Linked DNA regions of Oryzias latipes. The protein of the gene in region 4 interacts with the protein of the main gene of each other region in a pairwise test. Links are inferred from orthologs where the notes say so. Each region holds a gene or a part of one and is shown on either strand. Other genes may lie near its edges.

Region 1 (3,631 bases), on a different chromosome or scaffold from region 4:
TTAAACTTTAGAAAAATTGGTAACCCTTTGTTTTAGTGTCAAGCAGCTAATGTTTTTAATTTTAAAATACCTTAAATTTTTTTCCTTTCAACGTGGAAACTTTTAAACTTGATAGAGCTCAAGAATAAACAAACTGAATCCAACTTTTTAATATTTTATGAACAAATACTTGCCTGCTAGTTTATAACAAGTTTGCCAGCTCATGAATGGAAATTACGCATATCTTAAATATTCAGCTGACTTTAGGTCTATCAAATTATTAAAATAGTTCAGCATTTATGTCTTCATCACCAGCATTCCCAACATTGTTTAGCCATTATAGCTTTTTAACAGCTAAGCTATAAAAAAAGCTTTCGAATTCCTTAAGATAAGACTAACCCTAACATTTAAGATATTCTTTTTTTGTTTAGCAGCTCATCCTCCATTACAAAAACACTAAATTCTTGCTGCATCTACAGGAAAGAACACATACAGTAACATTTCGTAAAACCAAACAAATGCACGGATAAAAAGAAAAATAGTTTATTAACAAACAAACATCTCAAAACCAACAGACTTTCATTGTGAATGAACTACAATGGAATGAGAAAACAGGAGGCGCCGCTGTGCTCTGCTCATACTCGCTCCAAAGCCTCCAACATGATGATGCTGTTTCCTCGGATGACCTTCGGGAAGACAAAAGGAAAACAGATCAGATCTTTTCACGTTTACACATTTATTTTTACACAATTGTGTGTTGAATAAGAGAAATGTTCTAGTTTGGGAAAAACTACTAAACCCTTTCCTGAGGCTGTCACATCAGGAAAAACCACGAACCTGCCAACGTTTGGTTTCACAGATATTCACTGGAACAGGCAATTGTTATTTGTTCTTCCGTAAAGACAGGTCAGTTTTGTTTCAGATAAACTAATTAGACATCTTTGGAAAAGCTGGAGTATTGGGGGGGGGGGGGGGGGGGGGGGGGGGCAGTATAATATATTTAAGAGAGATTTTCAGTAGGCATTGAGGCTCCCCTGTTGGTCTGGATGTATTTATTTTAAGTAGTAATGAACTTTTGGCTACACATAAAAATGTGGAAATGTTTTCCAGTAACCCTGCTTTATTTGCAGCTAGTCACGTGGATCAGGTGGATTTCATCAAGCAGAATCTGCAGCTTCCCGATCTAGAAAACCAGTAGCAACTAGAATACAGATGCCTGGAAAACAAACGAGGAAGTCTGTCTTATCAATATAATGTTATATTTACAAGAGAAAGTGGATAGAATAGGTTCTTTGACTAAAGAATTTTGAATAAACTTCGAAACAAAATTTGTTTTTGTAGAAAAAATTAAAAATTAGTTGCCGGAAATGATCAAAACCACTAAATGACCAACTGGGATTGCTTTAATTTATTTACTTTGACATGTTCTTGTGGCATTTTTCTGATGAGGACATATATTTAAAAAAAATATGCTTAAAATTGCTTTTCTGCGTATTTCTTTATTCAAAATGTAGTGAATTAAAAGGAGTTAAAAAAAAAGTAATTAAAACAAAAAAAGTGTATTTGTGAGGTAGAAAATTTTCTTTATCAAAAAGATGATTTTTAGAACATTTACATTTTTGTTACTAACTAGCAGACCCCTAACATATTTTATTGGTTCATATTTCTTTATAGGATTGTCTGGTTTGTTAGGAAAACAGTTGTGCATGTTTTTATAAATCTATGTAGACAGCACTCAAATTGGTTCAAATTGTCAAAAGATGGAATTGCTAATAAAGATAAAAATAAATAAAGAGTATGATCTTTAATTGAACCTATTCGTCCTGCTATTACGGGTGGGGTAAAACATTGAATTAAACTATTCCCTCATGCTTCACAGTTCTGCTCGGACACTGACCACCATCCCGATGGTGTTCTGCTGTCCCCCGGGGCCCATCTCCAGACAGTCGTCCATCACCAGGTTCATGAAGGGGTCGAACCCTCGCAGGATGCCCTGGACGTGTCTGCCTCCATTCAGCTTCACTGAAGAAAACAAAAAGAGCAAACTGATGAACATGAAGGCTGCTAGCTTAGCTAAAAGCGAATTTAATTTCACAAGAAAAAGCCGGCGAATGAATAGAAATATAGTGTAATTTTGAAATATGTATTAAATAATGAAACGAGAGTTTTAACTCACGGGAAAGCTTTTTGTCCATGAATCTGAAAGACAAAAACATTATTTAGATTTAGCTTCAATTCCTAGCTGTTCCGGCTAACGGTGGCTAACATGGAAACATACTACAATCTCGCGAAAAAGACCGAAGCTATCAGGCCTATCATCTTTCAAAAACTTGCAAACTTACTTCTTTAGCTCTGGTGGATGCGCTTTGCTCATGGTGTCTGTATTTTAACGAAACAAAGTCGTGTTTCAATTCACAAAACCGCGTAGGAAACGCGTGTGGACCGGGAGACCGGAAGTAAAACCCTGTGACCTTTGCTGTGCTGCGCCCTCGTGCGGCTGGGAGGAGTAATCTGGTTTAAAAAGGGATCAGCCAAAGGCAAATAATACTATTTGCAGTTAGAAAATGACCAAAACAACTATAAAAATACATGCACATGAAGTGTGTGATATATTTTATATATATATATATATATATATATATATATATATATATATATATATATATATATATATATATATATATATATATATATATAGAAAACCTTAAAAAACTCATTGTATTAATAGATTTTTATTTGTGCAAAAGCACAGCTGATTAGTTTTATTTTTTTTTGGTTGAACATCTGAGCTGTAATGATCAAAAGCAAAAATAAAATCAAACATACATTTAAAAAATGCGACAGTTTGTTTTACTTTTTCCTTTACAAAGGAAGATTGTGAAAAATTCCCAAAACATTTTTCAAACTTTAAATCATCACAGTGACACTGAAAAGAGCCGCTGAAAATAACTTTAGAGAAACAAAACTTTGAGGCGGCTGCTTTTGTTTGCATAGAAAGGAGATACAATCCACGTTTCCTGCTATCAATAAAGACATCAAAAACGTTTTTTATGAAGCAAAGGTTTATAGGAATTCATGCTAGACCCTCAGAAAAATGGAAATCTCATAAATTCGCACTCACTAAAAAAACAAATGGCTGAGATTCAACCCAAAATCTACCAAAGAGAACAGCCAGCCATTCAAGAGGATGTTAGCATCCATTACTTCATATTTCCTCACTAACATGACCTGAGCTACCTTAACTTTAAGAGGTTATGGGAACATTTTGAAACTATGATAAATTTGATAAACTATGATTTTTACTTTTACAAGCAATTTTAAAGAAAAAAGAAAAACAGCTTCATTCATCCTCAGTAGGATGTTGTTAGCAAGTTACCATGGTGATGTGCTCATGGAAAGCTGTCCTGACAAAAAATAAAATGTAAGAATTAATAATTATATATTTGCTGATTATTTGGAAGAAAACAGCACAATTTGACAAAACACATTCAGTGTATTAAAGACATAAATGATGATGTTAATCAGTGCTTTCCCTCTCCAGGAAGTTTAAGTTTTGATGGGAAAATAGCTTTTGAATCTGCCAGGCGTTGATTCAAATTGTAACAACTTTATTAACAAACAGAAAGCAGAAGGCATCGCACTTTGATGAGTA
Region 2 (3,990 bases), on a different chromosome or scaffold from region 4:
AGAGAGGAGGCGCACACCTGTAACCCTACAAACACAACGCGGAGAATAGCAGCCTCACAGGACCAGAGGCTGTGTATGACATCACAAACAGAACGTCTGCAACCCATTTAGTTACATTAACCAGTCTAAACTAGTGATGTTCAATAAATATAGTTTTTTCCCCAAAATAAAATAATGACGCAATAAATCACAACCGCTGCATCATTTTATCTTTACTTAAATAGCATTTTGCTTTTTATTTTCCAACACTTGGTTGGTATCCTGTATACAAGAAATTGTTATTTTTAATAAAAAAAATAATAATTGAAAAGCAATTTATTTCGTTTTTCTGCTTTTTAAGTCCACCTATTATAATTTTAGACTGTTATTAAAACGATTTCTTATCTTTAAATGCAAGACTTTGAAAAGAGTAATCAATGAACATAAAATAGCCTTTTTTGGTCTGTTAGTTTCAATTAATAAATCGATTAATTATTTAGTGTAATCATTAAAAATAAATATTTGAATAAACTGCAGATTACATTTTAGGAATATATTCTCTCTTAAAAGAATTTTAACGGTTTTCTCACTAACGGAAAGCTTCATTATGTGTAACTATTTACATTTCATTTCTCGTTTACATTAACATTTCGCATACGGAATATTTCTAAACAGACCCGTTAGACACTGAATTCCCAATAACAGCTTTACTACCACTCAAAACGCTCTGGAATATTAGTGTAGACAGGACAAATACCTCAAAATGAACAGATATTTATGAATTAATTTACCTTCTCGCTGCTCTGCGCGGATGACACGACAGTGTCCTGTGAGGACAGAAAGCTCTGGAAAACGCTAAAGGACGGTACTGGATAACGTTGCCAGGTTTGAACATACACGCAACGCGTCGAGAGAAAGGTGAATTTCTTTTCTTTATAGTTTAGTCTTTTCAGTTGTTTCAATTTAAAAGTGGCAGGGATGCAACAAGGAGATGTTTGTGTTGTATTTAAATTTTAGGTAAGGACTATGTATGGATTTACACATACTTTAAATTTAGTCTTTTAAGGATGGATGTTGATACCATAAGTTTTAATAATAAACATTTCACATTCTCAAAGTACGCATAGATATATATTGTAAACTAATTATTTGTATAAAATTCAACTTTGTTGAACTGGAAATCGAGGGATAATTCGAAACGCACGTGTGTGTTGCCGTTTGAAATCTTAATTTCACCGGACCTGGCAACCTGCGTACCGGAATCGACGCGCGCATGCTCGAACAGTATGGCGGACGAAGCTGAGCAGGTTAGCGGTTCTTTCGCTAATTATATGTTTAACCTTACAACGAACGAACAGAAGCCCACTTTGCTTCTAAAAGTGCAGACTGCGCTGCACGCTGCATTATTTTTAAAGTGCTTTAAGGTTATTACAGGAACGTTTTTGACCTGTTTGGGGCCGTGGAAGCGGCTAACCGAGTTAGCCGAATTATTAGCCTTGGTGTTCCTGTGTTTCAATTGAACGCAAATGTTTGGTTTGAAACACAGTTCATTGCTTTAGTGCTAACCAGGCAGCTAAATAGTTTATACAGGAAGGAAAGTTTGTGTAAAATGTGTGGGGAAAACAACAGCTGTAGCTCCAGCCGTCGAGGGCATGCATTCTGCTGTGTTCATTAAACGGCCTTCTTCTGATTCTGGTTACCTCAGGTGTGTTTTGCTAATCAACAGCAGGCAGACTAGGACACCTGCCCTCGAGGACTGAAACTTTACATTTGAGGTTTCTACTCTCTGAAACGCTTGGCGTTTCTGGCTGCCGGCCGCTCTGGGAGGGGGGGGGGCGCCTACCGCGGCCGGCTGGGGGGCCGGTCGCTCGGGGGAGCCTTCTCCCCCGGTTGTGCCCATCCGCCCGCTCCTCCCCGCTCTCACCCAAACAAATATTGCACACAGGCACATAGGGCCCCGGGATCTGGATGGGAGGGGTATGCTGGCGGGGCTCACTGGGGATGCCCCTCTCTGGGTTCTCGTTGGCACCCGCCCTCCTCCCCGCTTTTTACTTGCATATTAGACACTCTGATTCATCTAGGGCCTTGTGGAGAGGGTCTGGTGGAGGGGGGCACGGTGAAACATCCGTGCTCACCTTTCGCTGGCCCCCCCACAATTTTAACTTCCTCTGTAGACACACACACTGCATGCTAGCAGCACACACACAGCAAATACACACCACTCACAGAGGGACTCCGGAGTGGGGGGCTTTGCGGCTTGGCAGCGGTGGAGCCCCCCACACTGGTGACCTCCTATTTTACCTGCAGCACACACACAGCACTCCCACACCTCCATACATGGGTGGGGTCGGGGGGGGGGGGCGGCCGGTCTTCACCCGCCTGGTCCTCTCAGGGCGGCCAGGCTTATGGGTGTCCTGTCGGCTGCGGGAGGGGTCGGGCATGCGGCGCTGGGGGTTGGCCGGCTGGGGGGGGGGGGGGGGGGGGGGGGTTACTGCTTGGCGGCGGGGGTAGGGAGGGTAACCAGATGATTGTGAGTATGTGTGTGTGAGTGCATGGGTAGGACCGACCTGGGGGCTGGCTCGCTGGGACCCTCTGGGGCTTTCCCTCCCAATCACAGAGAGGGGAGGGCACTGAGAGGGTTGGGGAGGGGGGGTCAGATATTATGGCGGGGGGGGGGTTGTAGTGCGTCGGGTTTTAGGGGGGTGGCTGTGGCTGCGGGTGCGTGGCGATCCCTGGGTTGCTAGGGTCGCGTGCCTGGGCTGGCTTGCGGGGACGGGGCGCTGGTCGGGTGGTGGCCGGCTCATGGGTTCCGGGGCCCTGGCTTCGTCCCTGGCCTTTGTCTCGGTGTCCGGCGCCCGGTGGCCCCCATGGCTGCCGCCTGGTACGGCTAAGCGCTCCTGTCTTGTGGCCTGGGGGCCGGACACTGGGTTCGCTTGTGCCTCTGGGCATTGGGGGGGCCCCTGTAGGGGGGCCCTCTCTGTGCCTGGCTGGTGGGGTGGGCGGTCCCCTCCTCCTCCCCTCCCGGGCTGCCTGGGTCCGGATGCTGGGGGGGCTTCTGGCCTGGGGGGCTCTCCTCCCCTCTCCTGGTCTGGCTGGTCTGGCTGGGTAGGATCTGGCTCCCTTTATGAACACACGGTTCACGTCGGCAGCATGCATGTATCTCCACCCCCACGTGCACGTGCACACTGCCACACTGCTCCCTGTCTGCTTCATCCCTCCTCCTTACCTACAGTGTATTGATGGACAGTTTTTTTTCCGCTCATCTTAGTGTCAGATTTTGACCTTTGATGTAACATTCGTCTTTCCAGCAGATCTGGTATAATTGTTACAGCTTAAATTAATAACTTAGTCAAATCAGTGCTTGTATCCCCCACCTTTTCACCTTTCTTCCTTTTACTCTCTTCCACCCTCCCCTCACATTCTTCCCCTCTCCCTCCCCACACACACTAAATGTAACAAATAAATAAAAAATAATACGACAAAAAGGGGTTTATACAAATCTACACTCTAGTTTCTTGAAGCTATATAACCTCTTTTTGTGATAGTAAAACCTGTCCAACACAAAAAGCCTTCAGCTCTAATCTGTTTGCTCAGAAGTTGGACAGAACAAGTTAGAAAAAAAAAAAAAAAAAAAAAAGATTAGTAAGCAAACTGACTTTCATTCTAATCACAAGGTTTAGAATTTTTAGTCACCAAAATGTTTTTTTTTTGTCTTTTATTTTTATTTTTAATGCTATACTCTTAATTTAACAGTTCAAACACATTCACACAGGTTACCCAAACGCCAATACATGTAATCTGCCTTCACTTGTTTTGCTGAAACCCATGAGATTAGTAATGCTTTTATATTAAACATATATAAATGTCACAAAACAGTCGTTTTTGGTGTCTTAAATGTAGGTTGGATGTTTCAACATTTTATTTTGATTGCTGAATTAAAAACTGTGAATCACAAGTTGATTTCTGTGTTGTCAAATTGTGTTGAGATGGGAAAAAAAGTAGTATTTTCAT
Region 3 (4,297 bases), on a different chromosome or scaffold from region 4:
TCCATCGACCGGCGCAGTGTGTGGAGGCGGTTCACAGCGGTCTTCTTCAAACTGAACTATAAAGAACCCATGACTTAAAGCCCCCCTCCCCGAACCCGCAGCCCCGGTCACTGCTTCTGCTGCATGGCTTCCTTCCGAGCGGCGTCCTGAAGCAGCTGAGTGTCCACCTCGTCTGCCGGCAGCTGAACGTACCGGACCACCGAGCCGCGGATGAAACAGTTTTTCACAGACAGCTGGAGAGCGTGAAACACGTGAGACACGGAGTCAGGCAGGGCGCCTTCCAGAGGAAGAGAATGAACACATCCAAGGGGATTCAGAAGCTAACACTTCTCTTTTTCCCACCACTCTCACGGGTCAAATAACCACATTTACACTCACCTGCCACTTTATTAGGCACACCTGTCCATCTGCTCGTTATCACAAATTTCCAACCAGCCAATCACATGACAGCAAATCAATGCATTTAGACATGGTCAAGATGATCTGCTGCTGTTCAACCCGAGCATCAGAATGAGGAAAAAAGGTGATTTAAGTGATTTTGAACGCAGCAAAGCTGAAATCATCTATTAATAATGAGTTCTCTGGACTCGATGGTCTCCACAGTCACCAGATCTCAACCCAATAGATCACCTTTGGGATGTGGTGGAACGGGAGATTGGCATCATGGATGTGCAGCCGACAAATCTGCAGCAACCGTGTGATGCTGTCATGTCAATATGGACCAAACTCTCTGAGAAATGTTTCCAGAACTTTGTTGAATCTCTGCCACCAAGGATTAAGGCAGTTCTGAAGGCAAAATGGGGTCCAACCCAGTACTAGCAAGGTGCGCCTAATAAAGTGGGCAGTGAGTGTAGAACTTCTGCATATTTTTAAATGTTTTTCTGAAAAATTGTAGTTTAGAAACTCTGAAAAATGTTTCTAAATCTTTGCTGTTTACCTGAAGAACTGCTGTCTGCTCTGCCCTACACTGAAACTGAACTTCCAAAGGTGTGCTTCTACATTTCTCACCCAGCAGACAACTTTAAAAATGTTTGTTATACTGACAGAAGGAAATAAAAGAATAAAAACAACTGTATGTTTTAGAGGCCTCTATGCAAACTTTAGACTAAAAAGTAAACCATAGATGAGGACTTGCCATGTGTGGATACTTCTCTGGGTCTGTCACACTGATGTCGGTCAACTTGATGTTCAGGTACTAGATGATGACAAGAACAACATTTTTAAATTGCAAACCAATACATTGATTAATTAAAAAAAGTAAAGAATTAATTATTTTCTAACCTGATCAACAGAATGAAGCGTCCCACAGATACTGGGGGGAAAAAGAGAAAATGAAGCTTTCAATGCAACAGTGAACTTTTGATGTTAAATGACTTTCTGGGAATATGCAAATTTGTATTGAACAAGTCAAAGTTTTTGTTCAGTAAATTTATTTCTATTGTCAATGCTGCAGGAAAGTCTGTTTTTTCTTATATCCCACTCTTATCTTTTTAAAGCGCTCCTAGTGGTCTTTAAATGTGCTGTTTTTAGCCAAAAATAAAAAAAAAACCTGCGTCGTTTTCTAGGACAGTTTCTGCAGAGCAGCAGTTGTTCACTAGAAATTTGTCTGAGATCGTTGGTGCAGAGCAAGCCTGCCCCATCTTCCCATCATCCTTTGCTAACTTACAACCCCCCCCCCTTAACCCAACATTAGGTGTGCAACAAAAAAGAAAAAAAAAGTAATATTGGAGCAATCCAGCCGTACAGTTATTTGTGCCAGCTCAGACCAGGAAAACAAAGACGGACAAATCTATTTGCCTGCAAGTGGATGCATCAGAATGGAGCAGAGCAGGGAGCTTATGGCATCAAAACCACTTTTTTCATTTGGATGGGTTTTTAAAAAAAGTACCACATGTCTAAGTATCGTCCATCTGTGAGAGGAGCTAAGAATTATGAGTTACGTCTTTAAAGAATGCCCAACAACTAACTGTAAGCTAATTTTAATATTTACTTTTGAGCTTTCATCATGAGATGCAGCTAGTTTGATTGACCCCCCACCCCCACCCCCGCAATTGACCCTACTTCTTCGGGAAAAAGGTCTAAAATGAATTTGCAGCACGTTTGCAGACCAAGAGTTAGCTCAGAAAACTAACAGGAAAAAAAGTACATTTTTCACGCTGCTGGCACCAACCTATTGAGCCAGATTTGCAACAAATGCTGGAAGGAAGGGATGGCAACCCCACGCCACTGTGACCAGCATGAGATGCAAAACACCAGCTAGAAGGAAAGACAGCAACTCTGACAGAGTCAATGTCTCTGTCAATGCTAAGTAGCTCTTCACTGCACCCATTCAAACAGCGCTAGCAGAACCACGCGCCATTTTTAACCACAAACGGCGCTTTGAAAAGAAACATTACCAAACAAATTGGTATGTTGAGTTATCAAAACCAACCTGAGGTCGTTTTTCAGCTCCACCACCACGTCCTTCCCAACCAAAGACTTGAAAAACGAGTAGAAAAGCTGTAGATTTTTTTTAAAAAAAAGACGATGTTAGCACGATGATGGGCCGACAAAGCGGCTCAGCACACTGCGAGCAAACTCAGCGACAAAACAAAAGAAATTCAGAAGAATTCTGACACTCAGAAACCTAAAATGTTTGACTTAAACTAAAAAAGTACATTTTAAAATGACGATTTACGCCTTACCATTTTGGCTGTGGTGTTCTACAGAAGGTTTGGCTGCTGTTGATGACGTATCAGCCTGCGCCGTGTTTCAGCGGTGAGTGAGTACCACTTTGCGCCACTAGAGGGAGACACACTGTCGTTCAATGTTTATTAAGGAACTATCAGGTGTTTTTCATTGACCGAGATTTAAATTTAGGCTTTCACTCATATTTCTTTAAAAAAAAAAGACATAAAAAACATTATGAGCCATCTCTTAAAAAATTGAATAAAATATCAAAAGTCTAATTCAGATTTAGTCTAGCTTCTAGTCTAGCTACCAGACATGTTTGTGATACTTTTTGTACCTCAAAACTTTATTTTTTTGTAGTATGCAGACCTTTACTGTGATTTAAAAACACACACAAACACAAACCTGAAATGTCTATAATTTGCTGCAAGAGTTTTTAATCAGGATTAAGTTTGTTCCTCAATGTTCTTTTATAAATTACGACGGAGTTTTAGGGCCACCAAAAAAAAACAAAAAAAAAACGTAGGGTCGTAATAAAAACATAGAACCTAAACTATATTAATAACGATATTAATCTTTGTAAAGAAATTGTGTTTTTCTATACTGGTCAAAGGAAAGCATGCTTTTCATGCTTTAATGCTGAAAGTTTTCTGTATGAAAACTGGATATATTTATTGTTTACGTCTTCTAATTTAAAGAACCTTTGGTCTCCAGTGCCATTTGGAGTTTTATTCTGTTTCTTCTCCAATGTCTTTCTGATTTTATCTACAGTTTGATGCAATAAAAATCAGAAAATGAACACAATTGTGACCGTTTTGTTTCAAGAGTTCTTTCTGTATTCTGATGAAAGACCACACGGGGGCAGTGTCGAGCACTCAGATGTTTTAACAAATCTTTTCAGCTTCTTTACTCATCATGGTTTACGAACTTGATCTGAAACAGAAAACTCTATAGCAACGAATCACAACTGAATGTACACAGTTTTATCTTTAAAATAATTATTAATTCAAAAGTTCTTTTGTTTTGTTTTTGAGAAAGTTAAGACGTTGCTCCTGGGTCTTCTGTTGTTGACACGGGTAAATTCCACTAAATGTGCTTAAACTGTGGAGTGGACGGTGTCTCAGTGGACTCTAGTTCAGGATAAAAAACAAACAGGTGAGATAACTCTGGACCATTTACTCCTTTTATGAATTTTCCTATGTTTTGGAAATTCTTTTATTACAAGATACATACTTGATAGAGTGAGTCTTTCTGCAACTGTTAACTTAATTCATTTTCATCAAATATAGGGCTGCACAGTGACGTAGTGGTCCACTAACTTTACTCAACAGTTGCTCAGTTAAAGGATTCAGTGGGTTCTGAGGATGGATAGGTAGATAAGTGGATCATTAAAAGCAAAAACAGAGTTTCTCTATAGACTATCATGTAAAACTAACCCTATTCTAAAAAGACTTTACAGAATGAATAAATGTTGTCACTTGACCCTTGAAGTCACAACGAAACTGTTAATATCATCCGAGCACACACAGGAAACACATCGGAATCACAAAAAAATATAGTTATTATTATTCTTACTTTCTCTTCTGTAAACCACCTCAAATTTGGCGGCTGAACATGCAGGAAAAAT
Region 4 (4,199 bases):
ATGCAGCAGAAAGGAGCAGGGGGGTTGCAGAGTGCAGTTATGAGCTTTTTTTTAAATGAAAAATGAAATTTAAAGCCTTATTTTCTTAATATTTGTCCTCCAGCATGAGGAAAAAATGCTACATGAACATGTTAAAAACACCGTTTTCATCTGAATGGGTCTTTAGAAAGATTTACTTTCGGGACAATCTGGATTTTTTCCGTCCAGCATCCTGCTCTGTTGTGTTAGCCCGCCCGTCTCTCGCACGGTAAAATGCCAGCAAGCAAAAAGAAGAGGGGCTCGTTCCCAAAAAACATGGAAGGGGTTTGGATTTTCAACTTCAGACTTGAAGCAACAATTTGCAGAATGCGTTAGCAGCTCCCTAAAGCACAAACTGGTTTCAGCAGCTGAGCCAGAGTCAAACGGTGCTGCTTTCTGTGAGACGATCAAGCAGCAGCAGCTCAAAAACACAACGTTTCAGAAGCCTTACAGTCTGTATTCAGTTGCAACTTGAATTGAGGTCCACTCCCAAAGGAAATGTCAAAATAAAAGCATTTCTGCTAGCTATATTCTGTCATTTGTCTTTTTTTTTTTTAAAGAAAGTAAAGAGAGGGGAAAGAAAAAAAATCAATGTAAATCTGAAATCATATTTAGTGTGAAAAAAACAGCAGAGATTTAATTTCCAGGCCATTACAGCCACAGTATGAACTATAAAGAATTAGGGTTAATATTTGAGTTTCTTTTAGTCATCTTCAGCGTTTCACTGACCATCAGTTTCAGCATCAATCAATCACCTGAAAGTTAATATTGATCCAAAAAAATCTGATTATTTTATATATGTGAGAAAATCCTTGCATTTCTGCAAAAATGATGGGAATAAAATAAGAAAAACATTTTAAATAAAGTTTCCCCGGCTGTGTGCGTCTGTTGTCCTTACCAGCTTCCTCCACATTGTACTCCTCTCCTTCGAAGTCGTTGTCTGAGTCTTCGTCGTCGGGGTCTGGATGTAACGCCTGGCACTCGCACATGGCTGAGAACATGGACTCCACTGCGTGGAAACAGACGCAAACATTTCTAATCTTCTACTTTTTATGGCAGACGGGCGGGATCAGGGGGGGGGGGCCGATCCGTGACGGCTACGCGATCTTGATCGGTTAGCCGTCACGGATCGGGTGGCCGTTACCGCTCACTCACATGAAGCTTTGTCTCTGGGAACAAATCGAATTTCTGTGATCACTTCCTCTTCGTCACCGTTGCTGCTGTCACTACCATCATCATCTTCTTCTTCTGCTGCTTTCTCTGTCATCTCAGCTTCACCCTCACCTACAAGAAAACGAACGGATGAAATTGTTGAATGAATGAAGAAAAACCAAAGCAGAAAACCCAGATCTGCTTTCAGGAGATTTGATTTGATTTGAAATGGTTTATTTCAAGCAATCAAATAAGCTTAGAGATGACTGAAGGTTTTCTTACCGCCTAGTTTTCCGTTGACCATGACGTAGAGATGCTCCTCGGGGTAGGCGCTGACATCCCTGGAGATGGCGTGCAGACTGATGGAGGGGTATTCCAGGGAGAAGCCCATCCCTGAGCCGTCGAACCACGACAGGCGCCTGAGACGGACAAAGACACAGATCAGAGGAGGCCGATTCCAACATTAAAAACCAGAAAAAGAGAATCAAGTCTGACGTCGAGTTAGCTGAAAGTGTTGCAGCGCCACGTAACCATAAAGATCTTTATTATAGGCTGCATTTTGACTCACTGACTCCTTTCTATTGAATTATTTATCCATTAACCTGAGAAATAAAATATATTCATTTAAAAATGCACTACCAAACAATAATGAATGATCAGAGGAGTTATGTTGAACCTCAAAGTACATCTTATTAAGATTTCCTGAGCAAATAATCAAGTTAAATTTAATTTCACTAAAAAAAGAAATAACAATAATCACAGGAATTAACTACAGGGACAAATCTAATCTATTATTTTTTATTCAAAGTTATTAAAATGAAAAGATTTAGTTAAACATAGTATTTACACTTCATGTATAGAGTCCATCCAGTGTTAACCTTTAAAATACAAAATTAATATGAAAAAACGGAAAGTTACTCTTTAAAGGTCTTGTGATCAGTTGAGACTAAAGTTAAAGACAAACAAATCAATGGGGATAAATCAATAAACCTATTTTAATTCAATACTTTGACAGCAGAAAATGAACCACGGAACTGTCACGTAAACATGACTTCGATTTAACGTTTTATTTTGAAAAGCAGGGCAATACCGGAAGCTCTTCCTGGGGTCTGAACTAGTGCTAACAAGCTGCAGTTTATCATCGAACATATTATGATGGATACATTTCGGGGTGAATGAAATGTGCATAAAGATTTGCCTCCAACGTGTAACGACCAAAACACGCGCGCCACGTGGATCACTTACGTTTCGGCGACGTACAACGTGCCACAGCCGAGCTGCTGCCCGCTCAGCACCGCAGTGGTGTTGGCTTCCTCGTGGCGCACTCCCTCGGTAGGAGGACGGAGGTTTCTCACCAGAACCATCGTCCGTTAGACCGTTAACGTGGGCCCGAACAGAACAGAACTGCTTTGGAACCCAAAAGGAAGAGCCGTGACCCACTTCCGGTAACAGAGCGGCTTAGTTTAACCGCAGTAAGCCTCGTTTCAGGACAAAACTCGAGTCACGACAAGGGAATTCTGGGGGGGGAAATTACAACAGAAAACGTAAAATCCGAAACAGCCAGACAGCGAGCGCTTGTTGATACTGAAATATCGCGGTTTCTTCCTTACGTCAACGAATCACGTGACCAGCGTGCCTCCTCAAGCCATCTGTGGCATATTTTTTACACTGCCCTCTAGTGGCTGTTTAGCTGATTACACCCATTCCGAACTTTTTTATTTTTAATTTTTTTAAACAGTGACGCCCCCCCCCCAAAAAGAAATATTTTCTTATTTAAAAAACACAAGCACAACCTTTTGACTATATAAATATATATACGTATATATACACAGTCAGGACCATAAATATTTGGACAGAGAGATATTATTTCTAATTTTGTTTCTGTACATTACCACGGTGAATTTTAAATAAAACAACTCAGATGTCATTGAAGTGCAGACTTTCAGCTTTTATTCCATGGGTTGAATAAAAAGATTGCATCAAAATGTGAAAAACTATCCTCTGTCACTAATCATTCAAAGAAGTCACGTTTTTTCTGAGAGAAAACCTTTTGTGGCCTTCGGTTCACCTAAAGAGCCAAATCCCAGTTTAAAGCCTGGGATTCCTTAGATTTCTAAGGTACCCTTTTTTTTAGCATTTCAAAAGATGATGATGAGATAAACAGGGTGGGGGGTCTCACACACTTACCAATTTATCAACTCAGATTTAAAAAAAAAAACTCAAATTTTGTAAATTATCTTTAATGTATTCTTTCTAATTGGTTTACTTTACACAGTCTAAACATTTCTAAGACTCTACAAGTCACATCAGCAACTTTTTAGCAAATAAAACTCAACAGACATCATGTGACTCAGTGTGACACGGCTGACAAATGAGATTTGAAAATGTTCCAGGTGTTCATATTTGAGCACAATGAAGGGTCATCGGTGAGTTTGACCCACAGAGACAGAGAGGAATCATGACCGGTTCTCACCTGTCAGAAGCTATCTGAAAGACGGACGATGATGTTCACACATGAAGAGGAATATTTATTGGTCAAAATCAAGAACATTTCATGCCTCTGACAAAAAGAAGAATAAAACAGATCAGCCTCAAAAAGCTAAGAAAAACTCCATAATTCTTGAATTTTTCATGGACACTCGTGCTGCTCTTCACATTTTAGTGCTGCTTCTGACTCCAACGGCATCTTCACGATCGTGTTCTTCTGCAGCCCTCCTCTTCCTCTTTTGTTCCCCCCTCAGTTCCACCTCAGCTGGGATCCGAACAGACACTTCTTTGGAGACGTCCTCCTGAGTGACGGGATTGTCGAAGCAAGCGTCCTCGCCAATGGAGGAAGAGGAGGAGGAGGAAGAGGTGGTGGGCTCTGCAGACCTAGTAACAGTTGGGACGGCATTGAAGGTGATGAAGCCGATCAGGATGACCACCAGGGAGACCAGGTAGAGTCCGGAGAACTGCGGAGGGACAGAAGGTTATAATAGAACGTATGAATGATTGACACAGAGAAGACCATAAAGTAAAAGATGTGCAAA
Region 5 (4,080 bases), about 21 Mb from region 4:
TTTGTGTTTGGAATTGGTTTCCTTATTTCATAAGTCACAAGATCTCCTTTGGATGTTGGCCAAAAAGGAATTGTGGATTTTACCATCTGAAAGAAGTGCTACAACATTTTTGTCAACGGCTCAGACTCTTTAAGACATCTCTTCAAAACAAAACTTATATTAGACTAACATTAGATAAATACACCTGCTGTAGATCTCATAGAACTCAGTTGTGAGAGTTTCTAAATGACACTATAATGCATCTTATAACTTTTTATAATTGTATTATAAATGGTAAATGGCGTATAATTGTACTGCGCTTTCTACCTTCCTTGAAGGCCAAAATCAGTCACCTATTCATACACAGATTCACATACTGGTTTCCTGGTTGCTGAACACTGGCACCAACCTTCCACCAGAAGCAAGGTGGTGTTCAGTTCAGCGTCTTTCCCAAGGACACTTCAACGGTAGGGCGGGTATCGAACCTGCAATCTAACGATCAGAGGGTGACCACCCTACCACGGCTGCCCATGTATGCAAGACATGACAGCAATAAACCTGGAGCCTAAAACTTTTACTATTAAAGTTTTTTTGTATTGTTTGATTTGCAAAATGCAGTTACAAAAGGCCATGTTTATAGTTTCTTGATATTGAATTATATTTTTCAAATAAATGAGTTTAAAAATACTGCTAAAAATACAAATGAACAATGCTGCATCATTTGTTTAGCACCTACAATAATAGATAAGGCAATCTGTGATTTGGAACGTGGCACATATGAAAAAAAGGAAAGGTTATTATTATTATTATTGTTTTTGTTGTTATTAATATTATTACTATTATTGTTGTTGTTGTTATTTCCAATATTTTAATTGTTGTTGTTGTTAATAATGTTGTTGTTGTTTACCAGGCAAAGGTCACAGACTAAGCAACGTCTCTTTTATTTTATATTATTTCTTGATACTGTCAACCTGGACTTTGATATCCTGCAAATGCAAAATAACTGGATAAAAGCAATGCTGAATTTAAATGTATCAAATTGTATTTAATTAATCTTTTTCGTGTATTTATTTAAACATGTTCTATAATGTCGTTTGTTAAATTGCTGCATGAATGCTGGGGCATTCATAACAGTTTTAACTTCGGCTTCAGTAACGAAATTACTAGAGATGGATGCAAGATTAGAATAGAATATTTTAGCTGATGACCGTTGTTTGATTTTTTTTCTATTGTTGCCAAAAAGAATAGAATATTTTTCGAATTTTTGGTTTGCGTCGTAACCCGGAAGTTATTCTATTTAAGCGCGTTAATATCACCGGAAGTGATTCTGTGCACGCGACTGTCGGCTAAAACGTTGTAGACACGACCGACGCACGAAAGAGGCTTTGGAACTTTACTAAACGGTTTTTATAAACCAGGAATCATGTTAGTATCTTCTATTGTGTCTCGATGTTGAGGGCAATGTTACTTTTTACGTTTAGCTGCTAATATGGAGATCGCACTATTAAGCTAGCAGCATTTTCCTTCGAGTTGGTGCTAGATCGCTTTGTGTGGCCTAGTGGGTGGTTTTTAGAAATGTGTTAAATTGGATTACATTGCAATTACTGCATTCTCAAATTAAATTGTTTAAAAAGTTACGTCCAAAGCTAAATTCTGTGATTGTACATCGCGCGAAAGCTTGATGGACGTACTAAGCCTCATTAGCTAATTGCTAATGAGACTGTTAGCTTGCTCTATCCATCATGAGTAAATGTCCTCGTTGTGCGATTGCAGCATTCATTCTTTAGAAAGTAGAAATGTTTAAGCTTCTGCAAGATGATATGATCAAAGTCGTCGGTTATAGACTCATTTTGTGTGAAAGCCAAAGTTTTGTTCTAAATATTTTGTGCGTAAAGAGCCTAAACTCTTTGCTGATCTCAAAGCACACACTGTTCAGAGATTGTTGAAAACTTCAAATGTATCTGGAAACAATAAATGTTCTGTGCTCATTTAAGGGTGGCGGGAGGCTTTAATGTTTTAAAACTTGATCCTTTTATAAAGTCTAGTATTTGTTGACCTTTATTTAGGTAAATTGTTTCTCTATCATCCAGAGCAGCCATTTTTTTTAAAGTAGGTTTTACTTCTGCCTATTTGTAGTGATCATTGTACAAATATAAAGAAATATCGAGACTAAAATGTACTGATTCAATTTATCAATGACCAAAGCATTTATTGTGTGTGTGAGATAATTCCTCAATAGTTTTGATTCCGTCTGATGTAATGTCTCCTGTACAATGGTTTTCTGGTTAATACTAGTTTTGCATGTTTAGTTTTATTTAGATATTTGGTTGTGGTCCATTTTCCTGCTTAAGCACCTTCTGCCTCTCAAATGTCTCTATTAACTGAGCACTTTCAGTCAACAGCTTCAGCTCTCATAAATGCTCTTTTGCAGGAACTGAGACTTTTTTTAGCTGGTTCCACTTTTCAGATGTCTTGCCTATATTGTACATTTTTGTGCTAACTTGACTTTATAAGAAAATGATCATTTTGTTGAGGCACACAGATGAAGCCAACTCTTGGATTCGCATTAACAGTAACTAATGCTTGTGTGTGCATTAAATACGAAAGTGTTGCGTTTGTGTCTTTATATTTATTTTTTAATTTAAAAGAATAATAATAAAAAGGCCCAAATCCAAATAATAGGCCGCCCAAGCAGTCGATGCTTAAACAGTACATCGTTGCTTATTTTGTTTGCTGTTATCACTAATTCAGAACTTGTTTAATCCACAGGAGTCTTCTAACGAAACCTAAGTCAGAGATGACGCCTGAAGAGCTCCAGAAAAGAGAAGAGGAGGAGTTCAACACTGGCCCTCTGTCGGTGCTCACCCAGTCAGTCAAGAACAACACCCAAGTCCTCATTAACTGTCGCAACAACAAGAAGCTGCTTGGAAGAGTCAAAGCATTCGACAGGTATTGGGGGGCTGCTGGTGTAGCGGAGAGAGGTTTAAGTGTGTATTTAGGACTTTTATATGAAGAGGAAACAAACACGAAGAGCTTGCATCTTGATTTAGAAAGTGTTGCTTCACTAAAGCATATTTTTGCAGTCTTTTTTTCTTCTTCTTTCCAGGATTTGAAATAACATGGCGCCTTACAGTGGTTTTATTCTAAAATGTTTCAATTATTCCCTCCTCTCTTTGACATATTCCTTTAATAGAATCAAGAATAAAATACATTCAGAAGAATTCAAATACAAGTAAAACACTAAATATAAGCTCACAAATGTAAGAGATTAAAAAGGCGTCCATAGCATCTCCTCCACATTGGGTACTGTGCCTGATGTGGGTGTGGGGTTTGAATGATTTCATTCTCTGAAGCATTGTTTTGTTTTTTTATCAAGTATGAGTTGAATAAAAAGCCACTTCTTAAATACTAAACCTGTTTTAAGGGTTAGATGTCAACAGCAAGATTTCTATATGTAGTCACTTGTGTAATAAAATCAAATTTTCTTACAAAGCTTAAGCAATGAAGAAGGGAGATTGCAAGATGTTTTATTTCAATAGTTCTTGCATTGTAATTTTCTGATCTTTTTGGTTTTTAAAAGAATAGATTACGTATGTGAGCAAATCCACCTGAGCACCCCAAGATTTCAAATGCCAGTGAGTTATTAGTATGAAGGTAAAAATGTGTCTAAATAGACGAGCTTGTAGATTTGGTGTGAGAACTTGTAATTTACAATGTGAGAACTTGCACACCAAAAATCTGCATCTGTGTGTAAAAATCTTCTGCTGTAAAGTCTGACAAACTAAATCAGAACTGACAAATTCCCATTTAGAGTTACAACCTCCAATCTGGGATTACAACTGCTCAAATGTGAATCTGCTGGCGCACATCACAAGTGCACAACAACTGCGCTCTGACTTCTGACACATTCCTTGTGAGAAACTTGTGTCAAAATTGATCTGTGTACGAAAACGGAACGGGGGGGACAATAGGGTCATGATTAGTCAGTACAGAAAGTTTGCTGACATTAGCTTTAGTATCTTTAGAACTATTGAGCACCTTTATTATGAATCATGTCTCTTAAAATGTGAAAAACTATATAAAATATATTAAACATGGAAT

What was found.
Region 1: the proteins of clns1a (region 4) and snrpg interact in binary tests that used the Homo sapiens proteins (3 or more experiments, as listed by UniProt). The two-hybrid records come from large-scale screens. The link is inferred for Oryzias latipes from reciprocal best matches to the Homo sapiens genes CLNS1A and SNRPG.
Region 2: the proteins of clns1a (region 4) and lsm3 interact in binary tests that used the Homo sapiens proteins (3 or more experiments, as listed by UniProt). The link is inferred for Oryzias latipes from reciprocal best matches to the Homo sapiens genes CLNS1A and LSM3.
Region 3: the proteins of clns1a (region 4) and lsm2 interact in binary tests that used the Homo sapiens proteins (3 or more experiments, as listed by UniProt). The link is inferred for Oryzias latipes from reciprocal best matches to the Homo sapiens genes CLNS1A and LSM2.
Region 5: the proteins of clns1a (region 4) and snrpd2 interact in binary tests that used the Homo sapiens proteins (3 or more experiments, as listed by UniProt). The link is inferred for Oryzias latipes from reciprocal best matches to the Homo sapiens genes CLNS1A and SNRPD2.

Annotation. Positions count from the first base shown.
Region 1 is NC_019865.2:4,866,762-4,870,392, forward strand, and holds snrpg (small nuclear ribonucleoprotein G), read right to left. Parts: upstream 2,468-3,631; 5' UTR 2,354-2,467; coding exon 2,322-2,353; intron 2,179-2,321; coding exon 2,156-2,178; intron 2,002-2,155; coding exon 1,877-2,001; intron 666-1,876; coding exon 615-665; 3' UTR 507-614; downstream 1-506. UniProt on the Homo sapiens protein: Plays a role in pre-mRNA splicing as a core component of the spliceosomal U1, U2, U4 and U5 small nuclear ribonucleoproteins (snRNPs), the building blocks of the spliceosome.
Region 2 is NC_019863.2:18,333,738-18,337,727, forward strand, and holds the start of lsm3 (U6 snRNA-associated Sm-like protein LSm3), read left to right. Parts: upstream 1-1,182; 5' UTR 1,183-1,265; coding exon 1,266-1,286; intron 1,287-3,990. UniProt on the Homo sapiens protein: Plays a role in pre-mRNA splicing as component of the U4/U6-U5 tri-snRNP complex that is involved in spliceosome assembly, and as component of the precatalytic spliceosome (spliceosome B complex).
Region 3 is NC_019862.2:27,136,502-27,140,798, reverse strand, and holds the start of lsm2 (U6 snRNA-associated Sm-like protein LSm2), read right to left. Parts: upstream 2,806-4,297; 5' UTR 2,688-2,805; coding exon 2,685-2,687; intron 2,500-2,684; coding exon 2,432-2,499; intron 1,313-2,431; coding exon 1,282-1,312; intron 1,196-1,281; coding exon 1,136-1,195; intron 234-1,135; coding exon 108-233; 3' UTR 1-107. UniProt on the Homo sapiens protein: Plays a role in pre-mRNA splicing as component of the U4/U6-U5 tri-snRNP complex that is involved in spliceosome assembly, and as component of the precatalytic spliceosome (spliceosome B complex).
Region 4 is NC_019871.2:4,487,763-4,491,961, reverse strand, and holds the start of clns1a (methylosome subunit pICln), read right to left. Parts: upstream 2,803-4,199; 5' UTR 2,535-2,802; coding exon 2,416-2,534; intron 1,590-2,415; coding exon 1,453-1,589; intron 1,303-1,452; coding exon 1,174-1,302; intron 1,028-1,173; coding exon 917-1,027; intron 1-916. Other genes in the region: solute carrier family 35 member F2, read right to left, coding at 3,822-4,121. UniProt on the Homo sapiens protein: Involved in both the assembly of spliceosomal snRNPs and the methylation of Sm proteins.
Region 5 is NC_019871.2:25,537,844-25,541,923, reverse strand, and holds the start of snrpd2 (small nuclear ribonucleoprotein Sm D2), read left to right. Parts: upstream 1-1,273; 5' UTR 1,274-1,402; coding exon 1,403-1,404; intron 1,405-2,748; coding exon 2,749-2,928; intron 2,929-4,080. UniProt on the Homo sapiens protein: Plays a role in pre-mRNA splicing as a core component of the spliceosomal U1, U2, U4 and U5 small nuclear ribonucleoproteins (snRNPs), the building blocks of the spliceosome.